Canis lupus familiaris: one gene and its partners. The protein of the gene in region 1 purifies or fractionates together with the protein of each later gene. This does not show direct contact. Links are inferred from orthologs where the notes say so. Each region holds a gene or a part of one and is shown in the gene's direction. Other genes may lie near its edges.

Region 1 (4,120 bases):
ACTTAACACCTGCTACTGACACCTCCCCACTGCCAGATCCCAAAGGTTCGCGTGGGCATTCCGAGCCGCGCCCCCTAGGTCCCCCGCAGCAGGCTACCCCCCCCCGCAACCCCCCCCCCCCCCCCCGGCCCAAGCGGGTTACGCCCCAGGGCGCAATGCAGAGCGACTCAGGCATCAGGAAGACAAAGTAAAACCAGTCGCACCAAGGAGAGGCAGCGTTATTTAGGCAGCCAGCTACTCCCCCAGAGCCTCCACCCTGTCCCCTGGGCCCGGCGCCCGGCGCTCAGACAGTGCCGGGCTCCTGGAGCCCCAGCTCCCTCCACGTGTCCTGTCTTCCCAGCAGCCTCCTCTGCAAGCCTCTGGAAGAAAACCTCCTGACAACTCGCGGTCTGCGGACTACAACTCCCAGCAGACACCGCTTCGCTTCGCTCTCCGCCCCCCTCCACAGGACACGCAGGCGCTCTGGGCTCCGTCAGCAGGCTGGACCGGCGACGGCCGTGTGCAGCTCCTTTTGGGATTTGTAGTTTTTCCGGAGCCAGCCGGGCCGTCAGTCAAAGGGAAGACAACTACAAGTCTCGGCGGCCCCAGCGTGACGGACCGGGTCACGTGGCAGGGGGCCGACCGGGCGTGCGTGCCGCCGTTGATCCGGTGCTGCAGTGAGGAGGTGGTTCTCGCCCGTGTTGTGTGTGTGTGTGTGTGAGTGAGAGAGCGAGTGAGTGAGTGAGTGTGTGTGTGTGTGTGTGGGGGGACTCGGCTTGTTGTTGTCGGTGACTTCCCCCTCCCCTCCACCCCTCCCCCTTCCCCGCCGCCGCTGCAGTGGCCGCTCCCTGGGCCGTAGGAAATGAGCGATAACGATGACATCGAGGTGGAGAGCGACGTGAGTCCCGGGGCTTCTTCCTTCCCGTGCGGGTTGTCAGGCGGGGACAGCGGCCGGGGCTCTCAGCGGGGCGACGGCGGCAGGGGGCCGGGCAGCCGCCTCCTCCTTCCCCTTCCCCTCCCCTCCCCCGGCTGGGACCGCCTCCGCCGCGCTCCGGGCTCGCTCCCCTCCAGGCTCCTAGCCGGAGCGGCCTTCTGGGACTGGAGGTGGGGTGGAGACACGCGGCCTTTGGGACCCCCCACCTCCCCCGGTGGAGGAAGGTGCTGCTGCCTCCGGCTCCCACCCTATCCCGCTCAGGATCCGGGGGTCCGGGACAGGGTGCGCCCGGGATCCATTGTCCGCTCCCGGGGAAGGGGACGCCGCTCGGGACCTGCCCCCCTCGGTTGCGATCACCCTCTTCCCGTGACCCACGGATCCTGGCGGGTGAGGGAGGGCGGAGAGGGGGTGGGAGTGCCCAGATGCCCAGAGCTGGGTGCGAGGGGAGGAGACAGTGCTCTGAACCCCCTCCGGCCGGAGTCGGATCCCGGAAGGAGGGGCGGCGCTCGGGACCCCCCCTGCCCGGCTACCGGATCCCGCTGGGGGGATGGGGGCGTGGGGTGAGGAGGGAGGGAGGGGGGTCTGGCTGACTCCCCACCCGCCGCTTCCTCCGCCGCCGGCATTTTCTTTCTTATTATTGAATGTGAAGTGTAAAAATAACTTCTATATTTTCTATTTTTTTTTCTCTCTTATTCCAGGAAGAGCAACCGAGGTTTCAATCTGCGGTACGTCTCCTACTCTCCATTTCATTTTCATTTCCGTTCAGTTCTAGTCCTTTTTGGGGTCAGAGAGAAAAAGATTGTCCTATTGTTTTTAATACTGTAGTAAACTCTTCTGTAACCGCTAAGGTGAGGCGGGGCAGTTTTCTGGGGTTCTAGGTGGGGGGCGGGGGGGCGGGTTTTCAAATCTCCTCATCCTAGACTCTCCGGTGTTTCAGTGAGTGTAGGTGAGTGAAAGGAGCTGTTTGCAGAGAAATGACTCTTTCTGTAGTTTCCAGGTGGGGGATCTAGATGTCACTATGTAAGTGTAAAATGAGAAATGTCATTCTGAAGTAAATTGTATTATTTTGGGGCAAAGTGGTCAGATTTCGTTTGGCACAAGCAGATTCTAAACCATACATGCACAGTTATGTGAAGCTGAAGCCACATGCAAAAAATCATCTTTAACCAAAAGTCACGTGGTCATGTGACTGCTGTAGACCTATAGAATCTGGCACAACCTGGTATCATTCTAATGCAGAAATTAGAAATGTAGAGGAACCAAAGGTTGAATATGAAAGCGTCACAAACTGCTTATTTTGGTCTGATTGAGTTGAAGGAGAGGTATAAAAGAAAATGGAAAAATTGTCAAGGAAAGGTGGCATTGCAGAGATAGATTTGCTAAAAGGTGGTGGTTGAGACATGCAATGTTATCAGTAAATTTCTCAGGGTTTGGTATTAATGTTGTCAGTAGACGGTTCCGTGGATTTGGATAGATACTACTCTCATGCCTTTCCAGTTTGGGACAGTACCATGAATAGATTAGAGAAAAAAAAAAAAGATAGACATAAAAAAAATCAGAGTCAGAGAGAGGAAGAGAAATACATCAGAGTGTCTAACATTTGACCGATGGGAACAGTACGAAGTTTATAGAATGGGGGTCAAAAATTCAGATGCCTCTGGGGAGCCCAGGCAGTAAGATCGTTGGGAATAAAGAGTGGAGGTGAGGACTGGGTTCTGGAATGCACATGTCTCATCTGAAAAGGCAATCACTAAACTCCGGTGGGGGGGGGGTGTTATGTGGGAGTAAGGGCTCACTGTTTCCAGATCTTATTTTTAAAGAAAGTCTAGAAACCCAGATTTTTATGTTATTTTTCTGATTTTTGAAATGATGTTTGGGACATCCAAGTTGTTTGGGAACTTGTTAGAATATGCAGGATGACACTTTGGTACCTCTGGTATCCCAGGATAAAAGCAAGTCCTCTTCCTTATATCTGTTCTTTTTTAGAGCAAGCAAAGTTTCTATAGGTTGTCCATGCAGATAGGCATTAAGAAAAAATATTGTTTATTGAGAGCTGATATTTGCTGTAAAATCTAGAGTATGCAGTTGTTCCAGAAGATTTTAAAAATTATACCTGGGTAAAAGTCACTATAAAAGGTTTGTTTGTTTTATCTTTCCTTGATATATTGTCAGACACTTACCTTTACGTGTTTATTTGGAAATTCAGTTCTTTTTTTCTAGTCACTGTGATCCTTATTGTGAACGTGGAGTTTCATGTTTGGGATCCAGTCTATTTAAAACATTTTTTTTTCCAAGTCTCCAGTTATAAAATGTGCCCCAGGGCTTGATCAGGATTGGAGGATAGGGATTGGTTAGGCATGCTTTGCAGAATCATTATTTGACTTGGAATTACATTGGCTTTCCAGTGAGAGAAAGTTTTCTTTGTGAAAGTTTGGCTTACAGCTCTTGAAAGCTTTCTGCTTTTCAAAATATCCATCCACAAGGGTATTGATGTAAATTGCTTTATTAAATTATTAAAATGTTTCCACTCTCCTAGAATGCTAATGTCATTGTTTTTTCTAGATATTTTTAGTTTGGTGGTAAGGTGCCTAGGTTTTTTTTCTCGTTGATTTTGGGAGGTGGGCAGTGGGAGTGAATTTGACCCTCTGTTTTTAATTTGACACCTCTACTTGCTGAGACTTTTAAATATTATCTGGCATAAAATAATCACCATAGTATGGAGAGAAGAAGCAATAGATAAATTTTATAGAATATCAAACAATTATCGTGAACAAGTGGGGTAAAATGGATTTTGGGTTTTTTCCCTCTGCGAATACATCAATTTCCCACCATTTAGTATAAATAATAAATATATTTTTTAAAATTTGGGGGAACTATTCTTAAGCTTTGTATTAGTTCAGAAAAGGATGTGAACAACCAAGTATTTAGGACTATTGGAGAACTTTTAAAAAGTTGTATGGAAAAAGGTTCTGTGAGTCCTAATGGAAATAGAGACATTTATTTATGTTTTATAATGTCACTACAATAGGTACAGCCTTGTTGTGTGAGAAATATAAGATTCTCAGCAAGAACAGTTAGGAAGTGAGGCTAAGTATAACAGAAAGTGAAACTGATTTGACGAATATTTTTTTCTCTTGCCTCAGTGCAAACGGAAAACAGCTTCTCCGGTGACCAGTAAGCTTTGTTGAATCCCAAACAATATTTTTA
Region 2 (3,500 bases), on another chromosome or scaffold:
GGCACCCATAAACTGCTTTTTTGTTTGTTTCTGTTTTGTTTTTAAAGATTTTATTTATTTGAGAGAGACAGCATGTGCAAGAGTATGAGCAAGGGGAGGGGCAGAGGGACAAGTCGACTCCCCACTGAGTTTGGAGCCAGATTGGAGACTTATCCCAGAAACCTGAGATCATGACCTGAGCTGGAGTCAGACGCTTAACTTACTGAGCCACCCATGTGCCTCTCCCCTAAACAGTTTTTTAACAAGATTTGCAGGACATTTTGGGATCTAGGCCCTGCTTCCTCTTCGGTCTCCTCTCTTGTCACTCTTCCTGCCACCGTTCTTCCCCTTCACCACAGATCCTTCAGCCAAACTAAACTGTGTTTTCCCAGTGTACCAGATGGTGTCCTGTCTGGGATTATGCTCATGCTGCTTCCTCTGACTTTGTAGGTCTGTCTTCACTTTGGCTAACTTGTACTCATCCTTAGGACTCAGTTTAGACATCACTTCTTGGGGAAGCCCTCCTCCTCCCTTATGTGCCCATAGGTTTTTCTTAGTGCAGAAGTGCCCTTCCCATGTGCTCTCTGGGCATTTTGTGATCACCCACGTACCCTACTGTATCAGGATTCCCGGCTAGATGTGAATGAACTTCTGTAGAGCAGGGACTGTGCCTTGTTTGTCATTGACTCCTTAGTAATTCATGTTGGGCCTGGCACGGTATGTTGTAGTTTAGTAGATACTTGTGAAATGAATAAGTGAATGATATTAATGTGATGATTTTTCACTAATCATTCTCCCCAAAATTATCTAAAGCAAGGCTATAAATTTTATGAATTGATTTTTATTTTAAGCTTGAGTTTTATGGGCATCCATACTAATGTTTAATACTTTCTTGTATATTTATTATATATTTTTATTTCATTTTATTTTCATGTTAATTTTGTTTAGGCATAAATCATTTGTTTTAAATAATTCTTGGCTTATTTTCTTTTTATAACCTTGAGATTTATCCCTGCCTCAGGTGGAGGATGCGCTGTCCTATCTTGACCAGGTGAAGCTGCAGTTTGGTAGTCAGCCTCAGGTCTACAATGATTTCCTTGACATCATGAAGGAATTTAAATCTCAGAGGTAAAAGATCTATGTGGTTGTATTCAAGCTTTGTGCTTGAAATGTTGCTTTTGGAGGGAGGATATTGCTTATTTTCGTACGCTGAAAGATAAAGGATGCCTCCTTTTGGGGAGTTTAATTTTTAGGATCATGTCTTTATTTCATGTATTGCTTTCTTGATGACGATTATGGGTCCTGGACTTTGTATTCACCCTGTTGGTTAATTTTCCTTAGCACGTCATCTCAATCAGGGAAGTAGAAGGATAGTGATGAGCCCCACCTGGTCTCGGAGTTGACGTAGGGTACGCTAATATTCTGGCGTGGTTCACTTGCTAGAGTAACTCGTGAAAACTGTGAACACACAATGATTTATCCTCATGTGGTAGAGAGTGGGTCCTGCGTGGGAGTTGCTGCTTTAGATATGCTGTTAAGGATCTGCTTGTTAGGACTGTTATCGTGAATATATGTTGTGTTCAAAATTGTGACCAAACCTCTTTGAATATGAGGCTAAAATTGCTTTGGAATTTCAGAGTTCTTTGTATTTTGTTGATTTGGTGATATGCAGGTTGATTTTACATGTTTTCCTATTCAGAGAACCTAGTGGAATGTGCATTTTTTTCTTACTAGGGTATTGGTAAAGCTTGCCACTTTAACTTTTTGTGGTGTGTGTGTGTGTGTGTGTGTGTGTGTTTGTATGTACATGTTTTGTTTTTTGTTTTAATCAGCATTGACACTCCAGGAGTGATTAGTCGTGTGTCCCAGCTGTTCAAAGGACATCCCGACCTGATTATGGGCTTCAATACCTTCTTGCCCCCTGGCTACAAGATTGAGGTGCAAACCAATGACATGGTGAATGTGACAACTCCTGGCCAGGTTCATCAGATCCCCACCCATGGCATCCAGCCCCAGCCTCAGCCACCACCCCAGCATCCTTCTCAGCCTTCAGCCCAGTCAGCCCCAGCTCCTGCCCAACCAGCTCCTCAGCCCCCACCTGCCAAAGTCAGCAAGGTGAGCACTTGGAATACGTTGCATCAGGTAAAATGCATACCTAGAAAGCACCCTCCTTTGATATTTCCCCTTTATATAGAATTTAGAGACATCAGTTGTGGTGATTTCATCACAGAAGCTGAAGTAGTCACATTGGTATAAGATGGTTCACATTTACCTTCCACATACTTAGGTATCTGTTTAGATCAACACATCCATAACTTATAAAGAACTTATTTTGTCCCCACCTCCTGCCTTGTGAACCCATGAGCATCCCAACAGATGGCAACTTTATTGTGTAGTAGTACTTTGATGGCACAGGCAGAAATGATCATCTGATAATCAGATTATGTTACTGCCCACGGGGTCATCATTTTATAAAAGTCACTCCATTTACCAGATTAGGTCATGGCAAGCCAAGCAGAAGATCCCGTTGCTGGTGGTGATGATGGTGGTGGTGTGTACTTGCTCTAGAACTGCACTGTCTGATACAGTAGCCTCTAGCCACATATGGCTGTGTTTAAATTTAAACTAATTAAAATAAATTCAGTTTCTCAGTTGTACTGGCTACATTTCAAGTACTCAGTAGCCCTGGGTAGCTTAGTGGCTATATTCTATAGGACAGTGCAATATGAAAGAACATTGCCATCACTGGAGTTCTATTGGACAGAGGTGGTTTAGAAGATTTTTATGTGGAATTCTGCAACAAGTGTCTTTTGACATTAAAGATCTATGGAGAGTAAGGGTTGATTTTTTTTTTTCTTATTATGTTTGCACCTGTTGAGTGAGCTTAAAAATTGCATTAGAAAAATTCTTCCCTGTAATTGGAGATGTAGCCACTTCTCAGGTTGTATTTCGAAAATTTGAAACAAAAATATCTGTATTAGAGAGTGTGAGCCCTTGCACTCCCCATGCCTGCCCAGTGTGATTTGAGTTGGGCTAACTGGCCTGGTCAGAGTAAATAAAGTACATTTGTTGATCAGACACCTTGTTTCTCTTTAGTTTGACCTTTCTTTCCTATGTCAGACCATCTGTATTTCTGAGGAGAATGACTTTTTTTCTTTTTAGCCTTCCCAACTACAAGCACATACTCCAGCCAGTCAGCAGACACCCCCTCTCCCACCATATGCATCCCCACGCTCTCCACCTGTCCAGCCTCATACACCAGTGACAATCTCGTTGGGAACGGCCCCATCCTTGCAGAACAATCAGCCTGTGGAGTTTAATCATGCCATCAACTATGTTAATAAAATCAAGAACAGGTTCCAGGGCCAACCAGACATCTACAAAGCATTTTTGGAAATTTTGCACACATACCAGGTAAGAGAGTTGCCCTTTCAGCATGTCTTAATTAATCAGGTCACATGCTGAGGGCATCTGGTCTGAGAACTTGAATAACCATTATTATGTTCCCTAAGTTTTACTGG
Region 3 (3,500 bases), on another chromosome or scaffold:
GGACCAGGCCTGCCTGCAGGTGTGACTGGACAGTGGGGCCTGGCTTAGGCCCGGCAGCTTCCTGGCCTGTGCTGTGTGCCCATGGGTCCCGAGTCTGCCCTGGGGAAGCCGTGTTGAGTTGTGTGTGGGTGGCAGCACCCAGCCTTGACCCTCCTTAGGGTGGACACTCCCTGCCTGGGATGGGGTCCCTGTGGAGCACACAGTGGGCTTAGGGCTCTGTAGACTGTCAGGGTACTGGGACAGGTGTGTCCCTGACTGCCCCACCTGATAAAAGGGGGCAGAGGTGGGTCTGCTCTCCTCAGCCCGTGCTGGGCGCCCCTGTGTATTGATCACCTGTGGGATTCAGTGGGCCCTTCTTGACGGATCTCAGTCAGATTGAAGCCTCCCTGACTCCTGGGCCATGTGTAGCATCAAGAGGAGGGTGTTGACTGCCCACCTGAGCTTGCTCAGATCTGAGCTCCCGGGTAACTGTGGATGCGTCCCGTCACTTAGCCCCCGTCAGTAGGCGTGACTGCTTTTCTTAGAGAGTTGCTGTGATATTTGGCTCATCATAGCTTTTAATAAATGTGTTTTTGATGTAAGTTAAATATTCTGTTTTGTTTTATTCTGTAACTCATTTTATTTTTAGGTACTGTGTATCGGACATAGCTTGGGAATACCTCCTTAATTGAGAATCCATCTCTTTTTGTGGCTGTAGATAGTAGGGAAGAAAATTAACATGCACATTTGTCTGTTGGTGCCTTAAACTTTATCAGACCTAAAGTTACATCTCTGGTTGGAGCCTGGTGGTTTCGGAGTGGAGTTAGAGATGGTAACTCCCTTGTGAAGCCCAGCAGGGTGAGCAGCCGAGTACATGTCCGAATGTCTCTCAACTCCATCTGCCAGGCACTTGAGGACAGAAGGACGGGCGTGTTGTGGCTGCGGAGCCTCGTCTTCATGTGATGTGAGCGTGGCTTGGGCTCATGAGGAGCTTGGGCTGCAGCCCCGCCAGAGTCAGTGCCTGCGGGCACAGTTTGTAGGAGAGGACCAGAGAGAGAACAGCCTTCTGTCATCCAGGGAGGCCATGTTCACTGTGAACGGTTAGTTATTGAGTACCTGCTGTATGCCTGGTCCTCTGACTTTCGTTCTCGTTGTGGACCAGATGCGTGAGGAGGTCCAGCTTAGGGAGAAGACAAGAGCAAGTGTGCTGGCTGTGGGGGCCTGGACCAGGTGTCAGGTAGCCCTCTGGTGATGCTCCTTCCCGTCCGTGTGGGTGTCGGTGTCCTAAATCCATTCTCCTGAGAATGTAGCCAACCAAGTCTGCGTAGTATACGTCCAGGAAGTGCCACGAGTGACAGGGCTCCGTGTTTTCCCAAACTGGTGGCCCTGGGCCTCGGCAGAAGCACGTTCTCCACAGTGACCCAGGGCCCTTTAAATGCATATGTTTATTTAAAAGAATCAGAAGGTTCAGGAGGTGTGCCTCCTCTCTGGGAATTTGTCTCTGTTGACCTCTTTTTTTTTTTTCAGAAAGTATGCTGTTGATTTCATGGCTTTTGAATGAGTGATCCACAGTTTGGAAAACACTGTGATGAATCTGTGATCATTAGAAAATGATCAAGTGTGAATTAAAAGAATGAAATTGAGAACATTTTTCTTTCTGTGGTTTGTGGGTCATTAGCACTGACAGGTGACCTGACCTAGGACAAAGTGCCCAGTCAGCTATCCCACAGCCATGGCAGGTAGCACACTCATCCTGCTAAGAAGGGGCCCAAGGGATGTCCCCCTGGCTGCCCAGTGGACACAGAGAGACCCTAGGGTGCGCCCTGCCCCTGCAAAGGGCTGCCCTAGCACCTGGAGCCTGAGGGTGACTCGTTGGACAGTGGCATAATGGCCCTGGGGCACTCAGCTGTGTAGATGCTGGGATGTCAGGTTTCTTTCTTTTTTTTTTTTCTTTTTCTTTAATAAATTTATTTTTTATTGGAGTTCAATTTGCCAACATATAGAATAACACCCAGTGCTCATCCCGTCAAGTGCCCCCCTCAGTGCCCGTCACCCAGTCACCCTCACTCCCCGCCCACCTCCCCTTCCACCACCCCTAGTTCGTTTCCCAGAGTTAGGAGTCTCTCATGTTCTGTCTCCATTTCTGATATTTCCCACTCATTTTTTCTCCTTTCCCCTTTATTCCCTTTCACTATTTTTTATATTCCCCAAATGAATGAGAACATATAATGTTTGTCCTTCTCCGATTGGGATGTCAGGTTTCTGAACTGTTTCCTGCATCAGCTCTGTGATGTGGGTGGAGACATGTACAAGATCTTAGAAAACTGGGATTTTTACTTGACTATACACAGCAGTGTGTCTGTCCCCCATGGGAATATTTGCATGTTCACAAGACCGAATTCCGAGTCTTTGTCAAAGACAAAGCAGGCTTTCCCTTTCTTCTGTGAAGAGATGGCGTGGGGTGCTCAGACTCAACCACGTGCAGGGCAGGTCACACTGCCGTCCCCAGAGCCACTCTTGCCTGGAGTGTGTCTTTTGCTGCTGGTGCTAACTGCCACCTTCCACTGCAGTGTTTAGGGTGCCAGGTCCCCCATGAAGCCGCTGTTGGGGTGAGGCTCCCACACACGGGTGGGCTGGTGGGGCACCACAAGGCCTGCTCTGTGATCCCTTTGTTCCGAGAGTTTTCCTCTTTGTGTTTTGGTCTCACTTGGGGAGCCCTGAAAGAGAGGGCTTCATCCTTGTCCATGTCCCTGAAGGGAAGGGCAAGTGAACTAGGGCAAGAGGAACAGTGGGGATGTACCCTGAGGCTTACTCTGTAGGTGCCCCCGCTCTCCACCCCCTCCTTGGTGCCTGCTGTTCCGTGGGGCTCGCTGGTGTGGGGGCATTTCCTGCCTCTTCTGGTGAACCCGGGGACACACCTGAGGTCGATGAGGGCACAAGTGCTGATCGATGGCGTCTAACTCAGCAGGGTCAGCTGTCAGGGGCTCACGTGACCGTGTTCTCTGAATTTCTTAGCTAATGGAGCTCAGCAGTGGCTGTAGATGATGGGAAATGTAAAATGGCAGGGTCATATGCGGGACATTTCTGATTGTGTTCTGAATTGTCTCTTTTGACTGTAGGTAATTGGTACGCCTCAGAGACCTGCAGCGCCCAACACTATCGTGGTAGGAAGCCCACACACCCCTAACACTCACTTTGTCTCACAGAACCAGCCTTCAGACCCCTCACCTTGGTCTGCCGGGTGAGCACATTGCCTAGAATTATAACCTCCAGCTCTCTGGGCCATGAGGGCTGGCCGTCATGCCCAGAAAAGATGTAGTCAGGGTACACTTTTCCTCGTAAAGGAGAAGTCTGGCTGCAGGGGGCCGCCTCCCTGCGGTTTGGGGGGAGGGGTCTGCACCATGGAGGGTGGCCAACATGCGATCGGAAGAAGACGAGGAAGCTGGCTTCTCAGCACTTTGGTGACTTTGGCACTTTTTCCGTTTTCTGCACTGGAAAGTAGCATCTAGGGAAGAGTGTGC
Region 4 (3,996 bases), on another chromosome or scaffold:
AGAGAAGAGGGAAATATGCAGAAGGAAGCCACACACCTAGGCGAAGGAAGAGTTTTGGGGACTCAATACAAGAGTTTCATCCGCTGTCTTCGCCAGGAGGCAGCTTTTCTGATGGGGGGTGGGTGGGAGGAGGGAGTCGGATAGGGAGAGGGAGGTAGGGAGAAAGTGGAAATTCTTGAATGCCAGGCTCTGGAGTCTGAGAGCCTTTAGCGAACTGCTAGATCGGATGGTGGCCTAACGTCGTCTGCATTTTATTTTCAATCTGGTTGCAGATTACCTAATAGATTGAGGAAGTAGAGCTGGAGCTTCGCGGGGCCAGGTCGACGCATCCGGTATGTGGAGGCAACGAGGCTCGGGAGAGACGTGTTCCTTTCTCAGTCAGCAGCCTCCAGGGAATATGTAAACTCGTTATTTAAAAAAAAAAAAAAAAAAAAAAAGAGAGAGGGAGAGAGAAAGAAAAAGGGTTTATGAGTTTTTTTTTTAAAGCCATTGTAAATAGTGGTGGGGGGGGGGGCAAAAGGATGCATTTGGAATTAAAACCAAGGTTAAAGTCCTGCCTTTGTCATCTTCTCATTATATAATAATACGGGGGAGGTCACCTCACCTCTCTCGGGCCTCGGTTTCGTTTCCTCTAATTTAAGGGCGACGATACCTTCTGGGCAGAGATTCGCGTGCAGAGAAATTGGGATCTCAAGTCCCCGCCCTCCCCCCCCTTAAGGCCCGCGCTCGGGCTGGTTCCCGCCTTCCCCCAGGTGAGCCCCCGGGCGGGGCCGGGCGCGCGGCCCTACCTGAGGAGGCGGCCGGGCTGTCCTCCCGAGCGGGGCGGCCGTCGTCCCGCGGGCTGGCGGGGCGGCGGCGGCAGCACAGCAGCAGCAGCAGCGGCGGCGGCTCCACCTCCTCCTCTTCCTCCTCCTCCGGGAGCCGCCGCCAGCTCGGGCCGTGAGGGGTCACGCGGCGGCCCCGGCGGGGAGGCTGCGGCGGCGGCCGCCCCCGCCGACCGGCCGCGGGCGCTGGGCCGCGCTGGCCGCGTTTGAAGTCTCCGGCGCCGCCGCTGATTGGCCGGCGCGGGTCACGTGCGCCCAGGCAGGAGTTTCCCCGACAGCTGGAGGCTGCGTGGGCTCCGGCGGCGGCGGCGGCGGCGGCGGCGGCGGCGGCTCCCGAGCTCGGCGCTGCGGCCTTCCCCGCCCCCTCCTCCCTCCCTCCTCCTCCTCCTCCTCCTCCTCCTCCTCCTCCTCCCCCGCCCGCTTCCGCCCCGGCTTATTATCCTCCTTATTGACAAACAGAGCGGCGGCGGCGGCGGCGAGCTCGGCGTGCGTCGGTAGCCAAGCCATGGGAGACAAGAAGAGCCCCACCAGGTAACGGGGCCCGGGCGGTGCGCAGGCGGCGGGGCCCGAGCGCCGGGCTTCCCCGGCTCGCTCGCCGCCCGGGCTGCGGGGCCACACCGGGGGCGGCGCCGCTGCCGCTGCCGCTGCCGCTGCCGCGTGTGAGGGGCCGGCGCCGGCCGCCCCACAATGGAGCCGCGATGGCGGCGGCCGCGGGTGTCAGAGCGGCGGCGACTGCGGCCGCGCCCTCCCCCTCGCTGGCTTCCCTCGGGCTCGGGGAGGCGCGGGGCGCGGGGGCCGCGGGGGGCCGCGGGGGGCCGCGGGGTCGCGGGCCTGGGGCGGGCGGGGGCGGGGCGGGGCGCGAGCGCCGGGCGCGGCCTGCCGGTGACCCCGCGCCGCGTCGTGTCCGGGTTGTGTCCTGCAGGCCGAAGCGGCAGCCGAAGCCGTCCTCGGATGAGGGCTACTGGGACTGTAGCGTCTGCACCTTCCGGAACAGCGCCGAGGCCTTCAAGTGCATGATGTGCGATGTGCGGAAGGGCACCTCCACCCGGTGAGTCGCGGGCCTGCCCGGCGCGCCGTCGCCGCCCCCGCCCCTGCGGAGGCCGCCCCTCCCGTGACACCGCAGCCCCGGCGGGAGCGAGGTGGCGGCCGCGACAGGAACTGGGTCACGTTGATCGCGCCCCGAGCCGCGGTTTGCGGCGAGCGGTAATTGAAGAGGCCGGAACGTTACTTTGCTGCCAAGAGAGAATAAATTATTTAAGGCGAGGCATTAGCTCCTGCGATGTAATTCGTATCGCTGGGTGTGATGCCCCCCCCCCCCCCGCCGGCCTCCCATTCCGGGTATAATAATGTTGGCTGCATTGTTGTGTTAGTGTGTAGGAATCAAAGAGAGAGAGAGAAAAAAAAAAAACAAATACCATGAAACACTCTGGAGAAAGCAAAAGGTAGAATTTAATTTCGTTCTTCCAAAAAAAAAAAAAAAAGAAAGAAAAGAAAGAAAAAGTATTTGATTCTAGGAATCAAAGGGGGAAAAAAAAAACCAACCATGAAACACTGGAGAAAGCAAAAGGTAGAATTTAATTTCGTTCTTCAAAAAAAAAAAAAAAAAAAAAAAAAGAAAAAGTATTTGATTCTAGGAATCAAAGGGGGAAAAAAAAAAAAACCAACCATGAGACACTCTGGAGAAAGCAAAAGGTAGAATTTAATTTCGTTCTTCCAAAAAAAAAGAAAAGAAAGAAAAAGTATTTGATTCTAGGAATCAAAGGGGGAAAAAAAAAAAAACCAACCATGAGACACTCTGGAGAAAGCAAAAGGTAGAATTTAATTTCGTTCTTCCAAAAGCAAAGAAAGAAAAAGTATTTGATTCTAGAATACACAATAGGTTGAACTTCCTGTATTTTATATATAGATGTCTGGAACGGTTAGATCAACGTTTCGGTTAGTATTTTTAACCTTATTCTCTAAGATTTTATAAATAGTTGGAGGTGAGCCCGGTCACAGGGACACATTTTTTTTGTTTTTTTACTGAAAGTATCTTGAGTATTTTTAGTTTGATGAAATGGCAATCTATTAGGCTATACAAATGAGATGAAATGATCTCTGCCTATTTTCAGTTTTTATTTTATTGTAGGCCTACAGTATAATAGCTCAGTCTTTAAAAAAACAAACCACTTAGTGGATTAAGTGGATAAAGAAAATCATACAGGAAATTCAAAGTCTGACGTTCTTGATCTGCCAACGCTTCGTTACAGAGTTCCTTCCACTTTATAGGAAAGTAGCCTTGGAATTTATTGTAAGCATGGGATTTATAGCTAATATTTAGATATCATGTGCCTTGATATTAAAAAATAGTCTGTTAGAAACTCAAGGGTATAGGTATACTGATGTGATAGACTGTTGCTTTAAAAAAGGCCTATTTGGTATTGACATTAGATTTATATATTCGGTAGAAGTTAGAATCCTAAAAACGAGATAACCAGGTTTTAAAACACCATTTACAACAATTTATGACTTTTTTTTTTAAAGATAGAGGCAGAATGGTTGGAAATAAATTTTAAGATTTGCTTAGTTAGAAGCTAGCTGCATTTCACATACTTGTCTTTTCATGGATCCTAATATGCTTTTTACATATTAAATCTCATTTACATTGGATAAAATATGTAGAGCATTTTTCATGATATCCTTTAAGAAGCAAACTTTAAAATGTCTAAATTCAAGAAATAGAATAGACCATTAAAAAAAAAAAAAAGCACCTATTTGCTAAAGTGAACATGGCAACAATTTTTGGACCCGTGCTTTAAGTATTTTGAAAAGTAGAATATCTTTATTTTTTTATATAAGGTTGGATTTGGTTTAGAATATATTTGTATATCTATGTTAGTACGTTGTGCTTCTTAAAACACTCAAGCAATTTTCAGAAAATGTGGTTTTTCCAGGCAGGGACTTTTAAAGTGGAGACAATTATTTTATAATCTTAATCTCTGGTACGATGTTGTTGCTTTTTGTTGTTCCCTCTCTATTTTCTTGTAGCCATTAGAAAAAATACTGAAACTAGAAGAGCCTATATGTTTATTTGCAGGGACAGCAAGGAAGGGGGGAAGCTGTTGTCCTACTCCACAGCCAGTCTTGGGGTTAGAGGAACCCTGAGAAAATAGAGTAGGTGGTGGCAGCTCAG
Region 5 (2,913 bases), on another chromosome or scaffold:
CATAATTGGTAAAATTTCAAGTAACACAGTAAAGATAAAAAAAATTCACATAGATGGAAAATATTTGGGATACAGGAAATCGCATAAGTATATGATAGCCCCAAAGCACATACTCTCCTAGTGGCTTCTGCTCTTTCTTAGATTTTTTTCCACTTGCATTTTAGGAGATTGTCATCAAAACAGTGTTTTGTCCCCAAAAATTCTCATAGTAAGATCCAGCAGTGAATAGGGAAGTGGAAGCAGGGAGTAAACACCTTCACCTGAGTTGTTTTCTGTACGTTATTAATGTTTTTCTCCAGAAATTATCATCATCAAAATGACACTAGAGTTTAAAGGAATGCTTCTTTAGATACTGTAAATATTGTAAATAAAATTTTAAGAATTATTCATGAAATAATTATACATGAAATAATTTTTTACCAATTGCTTTCCTTAATTGTGAGTTTGTATCCCATAAAAACTGCAGAGATTCTAACGTTACACTTGTTATGCATGTATCATAAGAGAAATTATCTCCTCAGTAAGTAGCATTCTGCTTAGAGACCCTTGACTGATGTTTACACTAGCATATGTGACGTATCAGGATATTCATAGCATTCAGGCCTTCCACGAACAGATCGTTATTGCGGTGAAGGCTCCTGCAGAAACCAGATTGGATGTTCCAGCTCCAAGAGAAGTAGGTATCCCTGCATTTCTAAGAGGGTTTATTTATTTTATTTTTAAATTTTTTATTTTTATTTATTTATTTAAGATTTTATTTATTTATTCCATGAGAGACAGAGAGAGAGAGAGGCAGAGACACAGGCAGAGGGAGAAGCAGGTTCCATGCAGGGAGCCTGATGCGGGACTCTGTCCTGGGTCTCCAGGATCACACCCTGGGCCGAAGGCGGCACTAAACCGCTGAGCCACCCAGGGATCCCCGAAAAGGGTTATTTTAAAGAGAAAATTCAGTCAACTGCTGAGCCAGTGCTCTATCACAGTCGTGAGCACATTAGCTGCGTACCTGACACTGCTGGATGCACTTTACACATTTTAACTTGTTTCAAGTGACACAGCAAATAGTCATGATTATTGGCCTCTTAAAGGTGAGGAGTCTGAATGAAGCATAGAAAGATGAACTTTCTCATGATTACACAGTAAGTGACAGAATCAGAATCCAAACCCAGATAGTTTGGCTTAGAGTGTTCTTAATCACTGTCCTATCAACATACTAACTGTGAAGCACCATAGCGCCTGTGTTCTACTGGAGTATGCTGTGATGCCCTTGGAGGAATCACCAAGAATTGGCCTCATGGTTGGAGTTCCAGAAGGAAAATCTGGGGATCAGCGAAGGCTCTGGGGGAATTAACTGTAACCAAGCTCATGAAAGACTAATGGCTAAACTAGAACGCTAAGTGTTACATGAAAAATGAAAGGGAAGATTGCTGTGTGAATGAAAATACTCTTTGTCAGCCGCCAGCTGCTTAGCACACTCTTTCCCTTGCAGGGAAGTTTGTATTGAAAGATAATTGTCATCAGAAGGTTGCTTGGTAAGGATGGAATCAGAACCAAGGAATGTGGCCTTTCTTGGGACAGATCATCAAGTTCTGACAGCCTGATAGACCCATCGGTGCTCATAGTGATGTCCTCTGCTTGCTACAGGGACTCACCTCCCTCATAGTGGAAGAATACTCTCCATCATCTCTCCTTTTATCCCCGCAGAGCACTGTCCAAGTGAGCACGCATGTTGTTACTTGACAGTGTATTATTATAAGTCAGTTAAGGGGCAGCTTTTAATTTAGTCACACTCAAGTTGTGACTTCTGGGAGATGTTTCCTCATTATTTTATTCAGATTTAAGCCTCCTAAGTAACATATTTAATAGGAGTCATTTTGAGAGAATTTTAAAGTTTAAAAAGTTATAATTAGCCACTAATCTTTCAACACATCCTTACTTTGGGGCACAATGGTCTGTGCTACAGCAACTGATGGGCTTTGGGGTTTTCTTTCCCCTGTGCTGTGAGCTGCTTCAGGCTGTAATTGCCAAATTTTGCTGGGCTTTTGGATCATGCCCAAGACTTAGAGTCCAGTTTAAAGGCTGATGAACATGGGCCCTCGGGGCAGCCACTCTGCAGCACATAAGTGGGAGTAGTAGACAGGAGCACACTGCATTCAGTGGCATCTGCCCCCACAGAGATCCAGGGCGAGATCTGGGAAGCTAGTGCCAGGGTGGATAGACTGGCCTCGGGTCAAATCTGGTTTGTGAGGTTTTTATACATAATCTCCCTGGGACACAGCCACATTCCCATTTGTCTAGACTGTTGTCTCTGGCTGCTTTCACTCTGTAATGGCAGAGTTGTATAGTGGTGACAGGGATGGTGTGGCCTGCAAAGCCAAAAAATGTTTACGATCTCCCCCTTTATGGAAAACATTTGTCAGCTCTGATTCAGTGGAGTAAGGAGTCCTCAGTTGGCTGCCAGTTCTGAGCAAAATACCACTTCCTTTTGTTTAGTAATATGTTTTGAGTTGTATACGCTGTACCATTCCTGGCAGTCTAGAACCTGGGCATAGATGTTCATTCTCATACCTGTGGTCCCAGGAAGCCACAGAAAAGGTGACACAAGGTTTTGTGAGCCTCTGATAAGCTGCAATTCTGAGCCCTGTTGTGAGATCCCAGTGAGATGTGTGGAGCGGGAGGGAGCATGGTGTCCATACCTAGTCCTGGCCTCACTGCATGGAAGGACAGAGAACAGACTGTGTTACACTTGAACACTCTTTTGGTTAGAACAACAAAGGAATCATAACTGGAACTGTTCCTTAAGAATTTAGCATAAATTGGATCATTCCCATCTTTTGGCCAAAAAGAAAAAAAGCATAATTCTCAGTAGAAGCACCCTACTTCCTGATACCTCACAGAAAAAATATATAAATTCTG
Region 6 (3,977 bases), on another chromosome or scaffold:
ACAAAGGTGGCCCAAGGTGACTAGGCTCCCAGGAACAGAGATCCACACAGCGCCACGCCAGGGCCAGAGACTTGGCGCCACACGATGCTCCTTGGGAGTGGCCTGCAGACCAGCAGCCTGTCTCAGCTTGTGTCCTGGACAACCACACACCTTGTTCCCTGGGCATTTCCTTTTTACATGATGTCCTCTTGTTAGCACAGGTTCCTGCCACATATTTGGTGTTTCCGTCCTTAATTGGGAAATAAGACTGCAGGTGATGCTGCCTGGGATGGGGGTTGGGGCCTGGGAGCTGAAGACTGCCTCCAGGACTGTAAGGCCCGCGTGTCGTTGTCGTGTCCCCCCCCCCCCCCCCAACGGGATGAGAACACACAGGACTTGGGCCAGAAGGCGGGCTGCAGGCTCTCCGTTTGCACGAGCCCTCTCCTCTGGGGTTCCCCTTCCTCGTGTGTACCCGGCCATGACAAACTGTCCTGGAGCCCACCTTGCAGACAGCAGAGCGGCCTGCGCCTGGTGACTGCCGGTAGGACGGCCCTGCACTGTCCCTGGCCGGGGCTCTCTGCCGGTGGCGGTGGCGGTGGCCGGCAGACCGCGCAGGAGAGCTGGGGGTGGGGGGGGGGGGGCGAAGCGCAGGGGAGCCGGCACCCTCAACCTTGCTGGCTCCGGTCCTGGCTTCCGGGGCGGGCATGCGCGGAGACACCAGCGCCGCCGGCTGCGGTGCACACGGGCTGCGGCGGTCAGCTGCGCGCCACGGCGGAGAGGGGCAGCGATCCCCGAGGGAGGGTCTCCCACGAACCCTCGGGCCCTGCCTCCCCTGCACGCCCGGGGGCGAGCCCTGCTGCTTTCTGGAGGCGCCGCTGCAGGCCGCGTTCAGGAGGTGAACTTTCGAGGGGCACACTGGCACTTTCCTGGAGGTATCATCATACTTCCGTTTTTAGAAAGTGCACAAGAAGGACCTGCACCAGCCAACTTTGAGGTTACCCCTTTGCACGCCGTCCCTTTAAGGCGTTGGGCCTGCCCCAGGCCTTGTGCCCCTCGCCGCTCCCCGTAGTGCCCCTCCGAGAGGCCGGCTTTGTGCACTCGCCCCGCCCCGCCGCCGCCCCGCCCCCCGCGCACGCGCACGCGCACTCCCCCCCCCCCCCCCCCCCCCCGCCGCGCCGCCTCGTCCAGCTCGGCCCGGCTCCCGCCCAGGCGGCGGCGACGCGACGCCCCGAGCGCCCGCCCCGCCGCCGCGGCCGGCAGGTAAGCGGGGCCCGCTGGGCCAGAGACCGCACACGGGGTGCGGGCGGGGGCCGACGCCGGCTGCCCCCCGGCCCGCCCCGCCGCCGCACGTGTTCCGGCGGGCCGGGCCCAGGTCCCGGGTCCCGGGTCCCGGGTCCCAGGTCCCAGGTCCCGGCCCAGCCCCGCCGGGGCCCTCCCGGTGCCGCGCCCGCGCCCCCACCGCCTCCCTTCCGGTGCCCACCCCGCGGCCCTCGCCCTCGCCCGCGCCCGGGCCCCGCGGCGACCCCTCCGCCTCCTCGCGGCCAGCCCCTCCCGAGCGTCCCCCGCGACCGCGCTGCGGCCCCCCAGCGGCCCGGTGACAGCGCGCGGGCCGGGCCGGGGACCTGCTGCTGCAGCCGGCGCGCGTCTCCCCGAGCTCTCCGCCGCTGCTCCGAAGAAAGAGCCCAGACCCGGCGGCGGGGTCCTGGCCGGGCGCGCGGACCGCGGCGCCCCTCTCTGCGGAAACGCCCCCCGCCGCGCCCTGCTGCTGACCCCCAGCCCGGGCGGCCGGGCCCAGGTGCGGCTCGCCCTCAGCAGCCGGGGACCCCGCTCCGCAGCGCCCCGCGCCGCCTGAGTGTGCTGTGCCACAGCCATTTTGGGTGACGGCAGAGACACTCCCTGTGGCCTTCTCATGCCGCTTTCTGCCCACCCAGGTCCCTTACCCGGCGCTTCGGCACTGGCAGCTGCTGTGCCACACGCTGCCTCCGAGGTCGGCCCGGCCCCCTCCCAGAAGGCAGATAGGTAAGCTGGGCTGGAAGCTCCGCGCGGAACAAACAGGCGGGGAGAGCGGCACACCCCGCCCCCTTGGTCCGGCCACCTGCGGGTCACCGGGTTACCTGCCTGTGGGCCAGTCTCGGGTGGAGTCCGGGGATCTGCATTTTACAAGCAGTGCAGGTGAGCACCCCGGTTTGGGATGGTCAGGCTCACCTGGGTGAAAGGCCTGTGAGGGCCCAGAGGGGTCAGGTGGCGTGTGCTCTGGAGGCCGGTCCCTAAGCAGCTGCCCCGTTGCTTTCCCTGAGCATCGCGGACAATGCAAGGCTTTCCCTCCTCTTGAATGGAAACTGGGGGCATGGAGTCAAGAAATTGCACATTAATGTTTTGCTAGCCCAAGGGATTGGCAGATTGGATTTGATGGAGCTGGGAGGGGTTCGCACACCTCTTCTGTGAGATTAGCTGTGGTATTCTCTAGTCCTCACCTTGAGGGCAGGTAGTTTGCTGGGAGTCACACTCCACCTCCCGGCGGGTCTCAATTTTTATGTTAAAAGGAGCAGCTCTGGGTTCCCTGAGCTGCCCAGGTCACCCCCAGAGGAAGTCTCTTCTGTTCCCACTGCTGTTTCTCCCCCACACCTCTCCTAGCTCTTGCTGATACCTTCTTCAGATACTAGGTTTTGTGAGTCAGTCTTTCCAGCTGTCTTCCATAGCTTCCCCCCGCCCCCCACTTGTCCATCCACCTAGAGCAAGGCAGCACTCGGATTAATTGGCATGACCGGGTTGCACTAAATTTACTCACAAACCAGCTAGTATTTGCTGAGCACCAGCTTTGTGCCAGCATTTTTGTATCTGGGCGTGATTATGTGACCTGCTCCAGGACTTGGCCTTTGGGTGCAGCAGGATCCATCCTTGGGCATAAGCCCAAGTCCTTGCTATATACAGGTAGCCAGTGGGACCACATCTGTGCTCTGCACAAGTATGTTGCATTGTAATTTCCCTTTTGGATAAAGACTTTAAGACGTGGTCTTTTTTTTGATGGACTTCCATTTTGCCTTGGTGTGACAAGGAGTCGTGCAAGCTTTCAGTTTTAAGTGCCAAGCTAGAATTTTACACCGTGTACACCATTAGATTAACAGTGGTGCAAGCTTCCAGGAATTGGATGACCAGTGATGTCTGCAAGAACACCATGGTGGTTCCCCCATTTCAGAGTCACCAGGTGTGCTTCTAGGAGACGCATCTAGGATCTGGAATCTGTTCCTGGGCTAGAGCAAATGAGTCGCTTGCTGTACAGCTTGGGTAGCTCCCATTGTCACGCTGAAACCTAATTGAGCTGCGGTCTTTCCCCTCCTGCAGCGAGAGCTTGCTTGCAGCCGATCTGTGTACACTTCAGGCTTCAGCAGCAGACAGGGCTGGCTCTGGTTTGCACTTCTCAGCTGTGTCTTGTAGTCGCCTCACGAGGGACAGAGCGCCTTTTGAGCTGCCAGGGTTCTGGAGGCGGCCTTGTGTCTACACCAGACGACAGGGAAGCCCCCTGGGAGATGCAGACCGCTGTGGGGCGGGGGGTGGGGGGTGGGGGGGTGTCTGCTCTTGTATATTTTCAAACGTGGTAGTTAAGCACTGTTGCATCACTTGTGAGGATTTGGACGAGTTCCCAAATTTCTACACCCTGAAGCTCAGTCTCCTGTAATTTGGGTTGGTTTAGGGTTGTTTTTTTTTTTTTTGTTACGTTTCAAGGGCTCTTTGAAGAAAATTGCATTTTGTTTGCCTGGCCTGAGCTGCATTCCTACCAGGAGGATAACAGTAGGGAGCACCCTTGAAGGTGGGGCCTTGGATTACATGGACAAAAGGGGCCTGGGCAGCCTGTCTTAGCATCTGAAGAGTATTTAGTGCAGACTTAGCTCCACAGATAGGTTCCTCATTTTGGAATAGTGTGTCTGCTCAGGGCCCAGCAAGGTGGGTGAAGGTTTTTCACCCTTTTTGCTGGGAATTAATTTTTAAAATATGGCTTG
Region 7 (4,300 bases), on another chromosome or scaffold:
GTTCCCAGGACACCTGTCCTTGGGGCTTGGGGCCTTCTCAGTCCCACTGCTAATGGGATAGTGGAACACTGGTCCCAAAGCCAGTGAAAGTTTGGGTCCTAGCTCAGAAGCATGAAGGTGGGCTGTGTGTCGGGCCCTGAGCTGCTTGGGGATGGGGTGGGAGGGGGGTAGAGGGGTGGGATAGGGAGCAATGTGGGGGATGGACTGGGAAGCTGGCGGGAGGAACTCCGCAGACTTCTTGGCTAGTGTGCTCTCTGGGAAGCTGGAGGGCAGAGAGCTGGTTTTTCTCTGGGCCTGTAACCTAAGCCAGTGCGGGGGCCACAGAAAGGCCCAGGAGAGAAGGCCTTTCCTTGGAGCAGGCCTGGCAGCTCCCCTTCCTGAAGGGCTGGGGAGCTACGGAAGAGGCCAGGGCTGCTGGGAAACCGCTGAGTGCTTCCTCTCTCACATTTCTCTACTTCCTCCTTTGCCTCTTCTCCCCTGTGGGAGGGAAGGGCTTGGAGCAGTCCTGGCTCACACTCCAGTGGTTGGTGGTCCTAAGGGCTGAGCCCCAGAGACACGTGGGGCGCTGGGGGTTGATGCCCTCCTCCGTAGGGGGCTCTGAGCCTACCTGGTCCTCCAGCCCCACCCCTTGTGGGGTGGTATGTTTGAGGCGTGTCTGCCAACTACCTGTCCGTTCAGTTAGCAGCTAGCAGCGTCAGATCAGTTAGCAGCGGTGTGGCCAATCCCTGACAGGCAGGAGGGCTGGTTGACCAGCCTGCTCCCAGGCCTGGGGTTTCCCAGCTGGAGCCAGGGAACCAGAACTGTGGGACCTGGAGAGTGCAGGGCAGGGTGGAGGTGGAGAGATGCTTCTGGCTCAGGAAGGGCCCTCCCCCTTTCCGTGTGCTCAGGGAGGTCCTGAGCAGGCCTTGCTTTGCAGCAGGGCTTTCAGGAGAGATGCTGAACTGACAGGTGCAAGGCTGCCTTTCTTTTCTTTCTGCCTGCCTCGTACCTTTCTGGTTGTGCTGCTGCTGGTGGGGACACGGGGGCATTTGGGTGTAACAAGTTATAGGACCACAAAGGTCAGAGAAGGACCGAATGTGTTTTGTGGGGTCCCTAAGGAAACCAGACCTTGGGAGTCTTGGGCCTCATTTCCTCATGTGTGAACTGAAGGTGATGTCCCTGCCCTGCCTGTGGCGTGCACTCTTGTGGGGACCCAGCGGTGCGCGCGCGCGTGTGTTTGTGTGTGTGTGTGGACAGACACCTAGTGAGCACGTGCTGACACAGCTGGTATAGGCTCCGCCAGGTGTCAGAATTCCTGGCTGGGTCTAGTTTCAGTTTTACCTGTGACTTGCTCTGTGATCCTCAACAAATCATTGCCTCTCTGAGCTAATTTATTTCATCTTGAAATGAAGATGCTGCCTGCTCTCTGGAAGGTACTTGTAAATACTATTGAAGGCCTTCCCTAGAAGCCATGATCTGTCCAGCACAGCCCCCCCGCCTCGCCTGCCGCCCCGTCCCACCCCTAGTCCATTCTTCCATGATGGCCTGTGAGGCCTTTTGCTGACTGGCCTCTGCCCAGCTTATCTGTCACCACAGTACCCTCAGCCTTGTTCCTGAACCTCCCTGCCCCAGTCTAACCCCTCTACCTTCAGGCTGCCAGGCCCCCAACCTCCTGCTCTGTTTTTCTACAGCCCCTCTCCTCTCCAGCCTGGATCCTTATCCTATGTTACTTGTCCTTCCCCTCACCCCCTAGGCCTAGCTCCCCAAAGGCAGAGACCAGGTGTGTTTAAACTCTTCACTGCTGTGCTCCCAACCCTTAGCCCAAGTGCCTGGCTGGGTGTCTCTCAGGCTGAGCAGGCATGTCACTGAGCACTGATTGGGACAGAGTCAGAAGATGTGTTATGGTGGAAGACTTCAGAAGTTGGGGCCCAGGACTGCTGGCCCACTGAGAAATCCCTTGTGTTCTCTCTGCGTAGAGGAGCAGGAGCGGCTTCGCCTGGAGCGGGAGAGGGAGCAAGAGCAGAAGAAGGCCAGCAGCCTGGCCAGGCTGGCCCATGCCCTGCCTGTGGAGGAACCCCGCATTGAAGCGCCACCCCTACCTCTGTCTCCCCCAGCACCCCCACCAGCACCCCCACCGCCACTTGCCACCCCCACCCCATTGACTGTCATTCCTATTCCAGTCGTGACCAACTCTCCTCAACCTCTGCCCCCACCCCTGCCTCCTGCCGCCCAGCCTTTGCCCCTGGCGCCTCGCCAGCCAGCCCTGGTTAGCACCCCTGGACTCAGCATTAAGGACTCTGCTCCCCTGCCCACCAGGCCACAGGTGCCCAACCCTGCCCCCCTGCTGCCAGACTCCAAGACCACCCTTCCGCCCACTGGCAGCCCCAAGCCTTTGCAGCCCCTCCCCACACCCATCCTGACCATAGCACCTCACCCTGGAGTCCAGACCCAGCTGGCTCCCCAGCAGCCACCGCCATCCACTCTTGGGACCCTGAAGTTGGCACCAGCCGAAGAAGTCAAATCCAGCGAACAGAAGAAGAGGCCCGGGGGGTGAGTGAGGTGTGGCTGAATCCGGGCTGATGGGATGGAGAACTGCCCACATTCTGGGCTCCATGTGGAAAAGAAAGTAGCCCCTCCTAAGCTAGTTCTTCAAAGCCATGTCCTCCCTCCCCACCTGAGATGCATCTTATCCGTATTTGGACAGGTCTGTGCCTGTGCCCATCCCCACCCAGGAGTGGGTAATGGCTGTTGCCCTCTGTTGTCAGGCTTCTGTGTTCTCTGACCTGCTCAGGGATGGGCCCATTGGCATTTCCAGGCCTTTGGCGAGAGTATTGGAATGAGGACCTCTTGGTGAGGGCTGGGGTCAACTGGCTATTTCTGTGAGCTCCAGGAGGCCCTCCGATTCCTCACAGGTGGACAAGGGCAAGATGGAGGGTTAAAGGGATTGTGATTTATGAGCATACGCGTGCCGTCCAGGGGCTGTATGTGCCTCTACACAGGCTGAACATCTCCCACTGCTGCTTTGTACAGAATGTGGGGAGCAGGGGGCAGAAGACCACCTAATTGGGCCCTCCTCCCTCAACTTCCTTCCTGTCTGGGTTTCAGGATCGGAACCAGAGAAGTCCACAACAAACTGGAGAAGAACAGGTGTGTGTGCGTGCGCGCGTGCCTCTGGCCCCCCCCTTGGTCCCCCAAGCCCCCCTGGGGCCTCTTCTCCCCGCCCCCCAGTCGCGGGCCAACCAGCGTTCCCCCTCTCCCCAGGAGGGCCCATCTGAAGGAATGCTTTGAGACCCTGAAGCGCAACATCCCCAACGTGGACGACAAGAAGACGTCGAACCTGAGCGTGCTGCGGACGGCGCTGCGGTACATCCAGGTATGGGGGAGGGAGGCTCCGCCGAGAGCAGGGCGGGCGGCGGCCGCGGCGCCGGCTTCCTCCCCGCTCCCGCCCGCCCTCTTCCCCTCGCCGCGGCCCGCCCCGCCCTCACTCCCCCCTCCCCCTCCGGCTCCCCCGCCCGCCTCCACGCGGGCGCGGAGCACATGGCTCGGCTGACGTCAGCGGGGCTCCCCGCCCGCGAGGGGGCGGGGGGCGCGTGCGCGTGCGCGGGGGAGGGCGGCCGCGGCGTTCCCCTCTCCCCCAGCCCCCTTCCGGCCGCCCCGCGAGCCCTGCCATCTGCGCCGCCCGCGCAGCTCGGTGTTCAAACCCGGCGGCCGGGCGGCCGGTCCCGCGCTCCTGCCTGACGCCGCTGGTGCCCCCGCGGCTGAGGAGGGCGGGGAGCGGCCCGGCGCCTCCACCCCGCCCGCGGTGCCTGGGCGGCAGCCGGACTCGGCCCGGGAGTGTCGCTCGCGGGGGGGTGGGGAGTCCCCTGGGCGTGGCTCCTGGCGGAAGGCGGCGCGCCGGCGAGGCCCCCCACTCCAGCCCGAGGGACTGCGATCCAGCGAGCGCGTCGAAGCGCCGCGACTCGTTTGGGGCTGACACCTGGAGACCGGGGAGTGTGGCGGTCTGGGCGACCAAATAACCCTGGGGTCACCGAACCCTTGAAAACCAAGCTCTCCGCCTGCTTGGATTTTTAAGAGCCTCTTCAAGGGGCCCTCCTGGCCTTGTGCCTCCTCCCACCCCCCGCCTTGGGCACTGGCTTCCCTCTGCAGTACGGGGTGGGGGGCGCCCGCCAGATAAGACTGTTGCCATGACGGCCCTGTGTTTCGGTTTCCCTGGAAACCGGCCGAGGTTTCCGCGTGCCGGGAAGGAGGCTGTGGGGGTGGGGCGGGCGGCCACGCTTGGCTGCCGCGGAGACGCGAGTTGGAGCCGAGCCGTTGGGCAGTG

What was found.
Region 2: the proteins of MAX (region 1) and SIN3A purify together in Homo sapiens (affinity purification with mass spectrometry; 3 studies listed by BioGRID and IntAct, with this or other methods). This does not show direct contact. The link is inferred for Canis lupus familiaris from reciprocal best matches to the Homo sapiens genes MAX and SIN3A.
Region 3: the proteins of MAX (region 1) and TFDP1 purify together in Homo sapiens (affinity purification with mass spectrometry; 5 studies listed by BioGRID and IntAct, with this or other methods). This does not show direct contact. The link is inferred for Canis lupus familiaris from reciprocal best matches to the Homo sapiens genes MAX and TFDP1.
Region 4: the proteins of MAX (region 1) and YAF2 purify together in Homo sapiens (affinity purification with mass spectrometry; 3 studies listed by BioGRID and IntAct, with this or other methods). This does not show direct contact. The link is inferred for Canis lupus familiaris from reciprocal best matches to the Homo sapiens genes MAX and YAF2.
Region 5: the proteins of MAX (region 1) and E2F6 purify together in Homo sapiens (affinity purification with mass spectrometry; 5 studies listed by BioGRID and IntAct, with this or other methods). This does not show direct contact. The link is inferred for Canis lupus familiaris from reciprocal best matches to the Homo sapiens genes MAX and E2F6.
Region 6: the proteins of MAX (region 1) and WDR5 purify together in Homo sapiens (affinity purification with mass spectrometry; 4 studies listed by BioGRID and IntAct, with this or other methods). This does not show direct contact. The link is inferred for Canis lupus familiaris from reciprocal best matches to the Homo sapiens genes MAX and WDR5.
Region 7: the proteins of MAX (region 1) and MNT purify together in Homo sapiens (affinity purification with mass spectrometry; 7 studies listed by BioGRID and IntAct, with this or other methods). This does not show direct contact. The link is inferred for Canis lupus familiaris from reciprocal best matches to the Homo sapiens genes MAX and MNT.

The regions. Positions count from the first base shown.
Region 1 is NC_049229.1:39,737,504-39,741,623, reverse strand, and holds the start of MAX (protein max), read left to right. Parts: upstream 1-1,320; 5' UTR 1,321-1,335; coding exon 1,336-1,473; intron 1,474-1,611; coding exon 1,612-1,638; intron 1,639-4,120. UniProt on the Homo sapiens protein: Transcription regulator. Forms a sequence-specific DNA-binding protein complex with MYC or MAD which recognizes the core sequence 5'-CAC[GA]TG-3'. The MYC:MAX complex is a transcriptional activator, whereas the MAD:MAX complex is a repressor.
Region 2 is NC_049251.1:38,711,407-38,714,906, reverse strand, and holds part of SIN3A (paired amphipathic helix protein Sin3a), read left to right. Parts: intron 1-1,000; coding exon 1,001-1,107; intron 1,108-1,811; coding exon 1,812-2,094; intron 2,095-2,470; exon of another isoform or gene 2,471-2,714; intron 2,715-3,141; coding exon 3,142-3,393; intron 3,394-3,500. UniProt on the Homo sapiens protein: Acts as a transcriptional repressor. Corepressor for REST. Interacts with MXI1 to repress MYC responsive genes and antagonize MYC oncogenic activities. Also interacts with MXD1-MAX heterodimers to repress transcription by tethering SIN3A to DNA.
Region 3 is NC_049243.1:61,040,141-61,043,640, forward strand, and holds part of TFDP1 (transcription factor Dp-1), read left to right. Parts: intron 1-3,098; coding exon 3,099-3,220; intron 3,221-3,500. UniProt on the Homo sapiens protein: Can stimulate E2F-dependent transcription.
Region 4 is NC_049248.1:34,870,834-34,874,829, reverse strand, and holds the start of YAF2 (YY1-associated factor 2), read left to right. Parts: upstream 1-1,196; 5' UTR 1,197-1,329; coding exon 1,330-1,355; intron 1,356-1,746; coding exon 1,747-1,872; intron 1,873-3,996. UniProt on the Homo sapiens protein: Binds to MYC and inhibits MYC-mediated transactivation. Also binds to MYCN and enhances MYCN-dependent transcriptional activation. Increases calpain 2-mediated proteolysis of YY1 in vitro.
Region 5 is NC_049238.1:8,169,805-8,172,717, reverse strand, and holds part of E2F6 (transcription factor E2F6), read left to right. Parts: intron 1-561; coding exon 562-676; intron 677-1,486; exon of another isoform or gene 1,487-1,713; intron 1,714-2,913. UniProt on the Homo sapiens protein: Inhibitor of E2F-dependent transcription. Binds DNA cooperatively with DP proteins through the E2 recognition site, 5'-TTTC[CG]CGC-3'. Has a preference for the 5'-TTTCCCGC-3' E2F recognition site.
Region 6 is NC_049230.1:50,406,245-50,410,221, forward strand, and holds the start of WDR5 (WD repeat-containing protein 5), read left to right. Parts: upstream 1-1,177; 5' UTR 1,178-1,239; intron 1,240-1,910; 5' UTR 1,911-1,998; intron 1,999-2,004; exon of another isoform or gene 2,005-2,151; intron 2,152-3,977.
Region 7 is NC_049230.1:46,424,394-46,428,693, reverse strand, and holds the start of MNT (max-binding protein MNT), read left to right. Parts: upstream 1-1,500; 5' UTR 1,501-1,873; coding exon 1,874-2,529; exon of another isoform or gene 2,530-3,084; coding exon 3,085-3,126; exon of another isoform or gene 3,127-3,145; intron 3,146-3,240; coding exon 3,241-3,352; intron 3,353-4,300. UniProt on the Homo sapiens protein: Binds DNA as a heterodimer with MAX and represses transcription. Binds to the canonical E box sequence 5'-CACGTG-3' and, with higher affinity, to 5'-CACGCG-3'.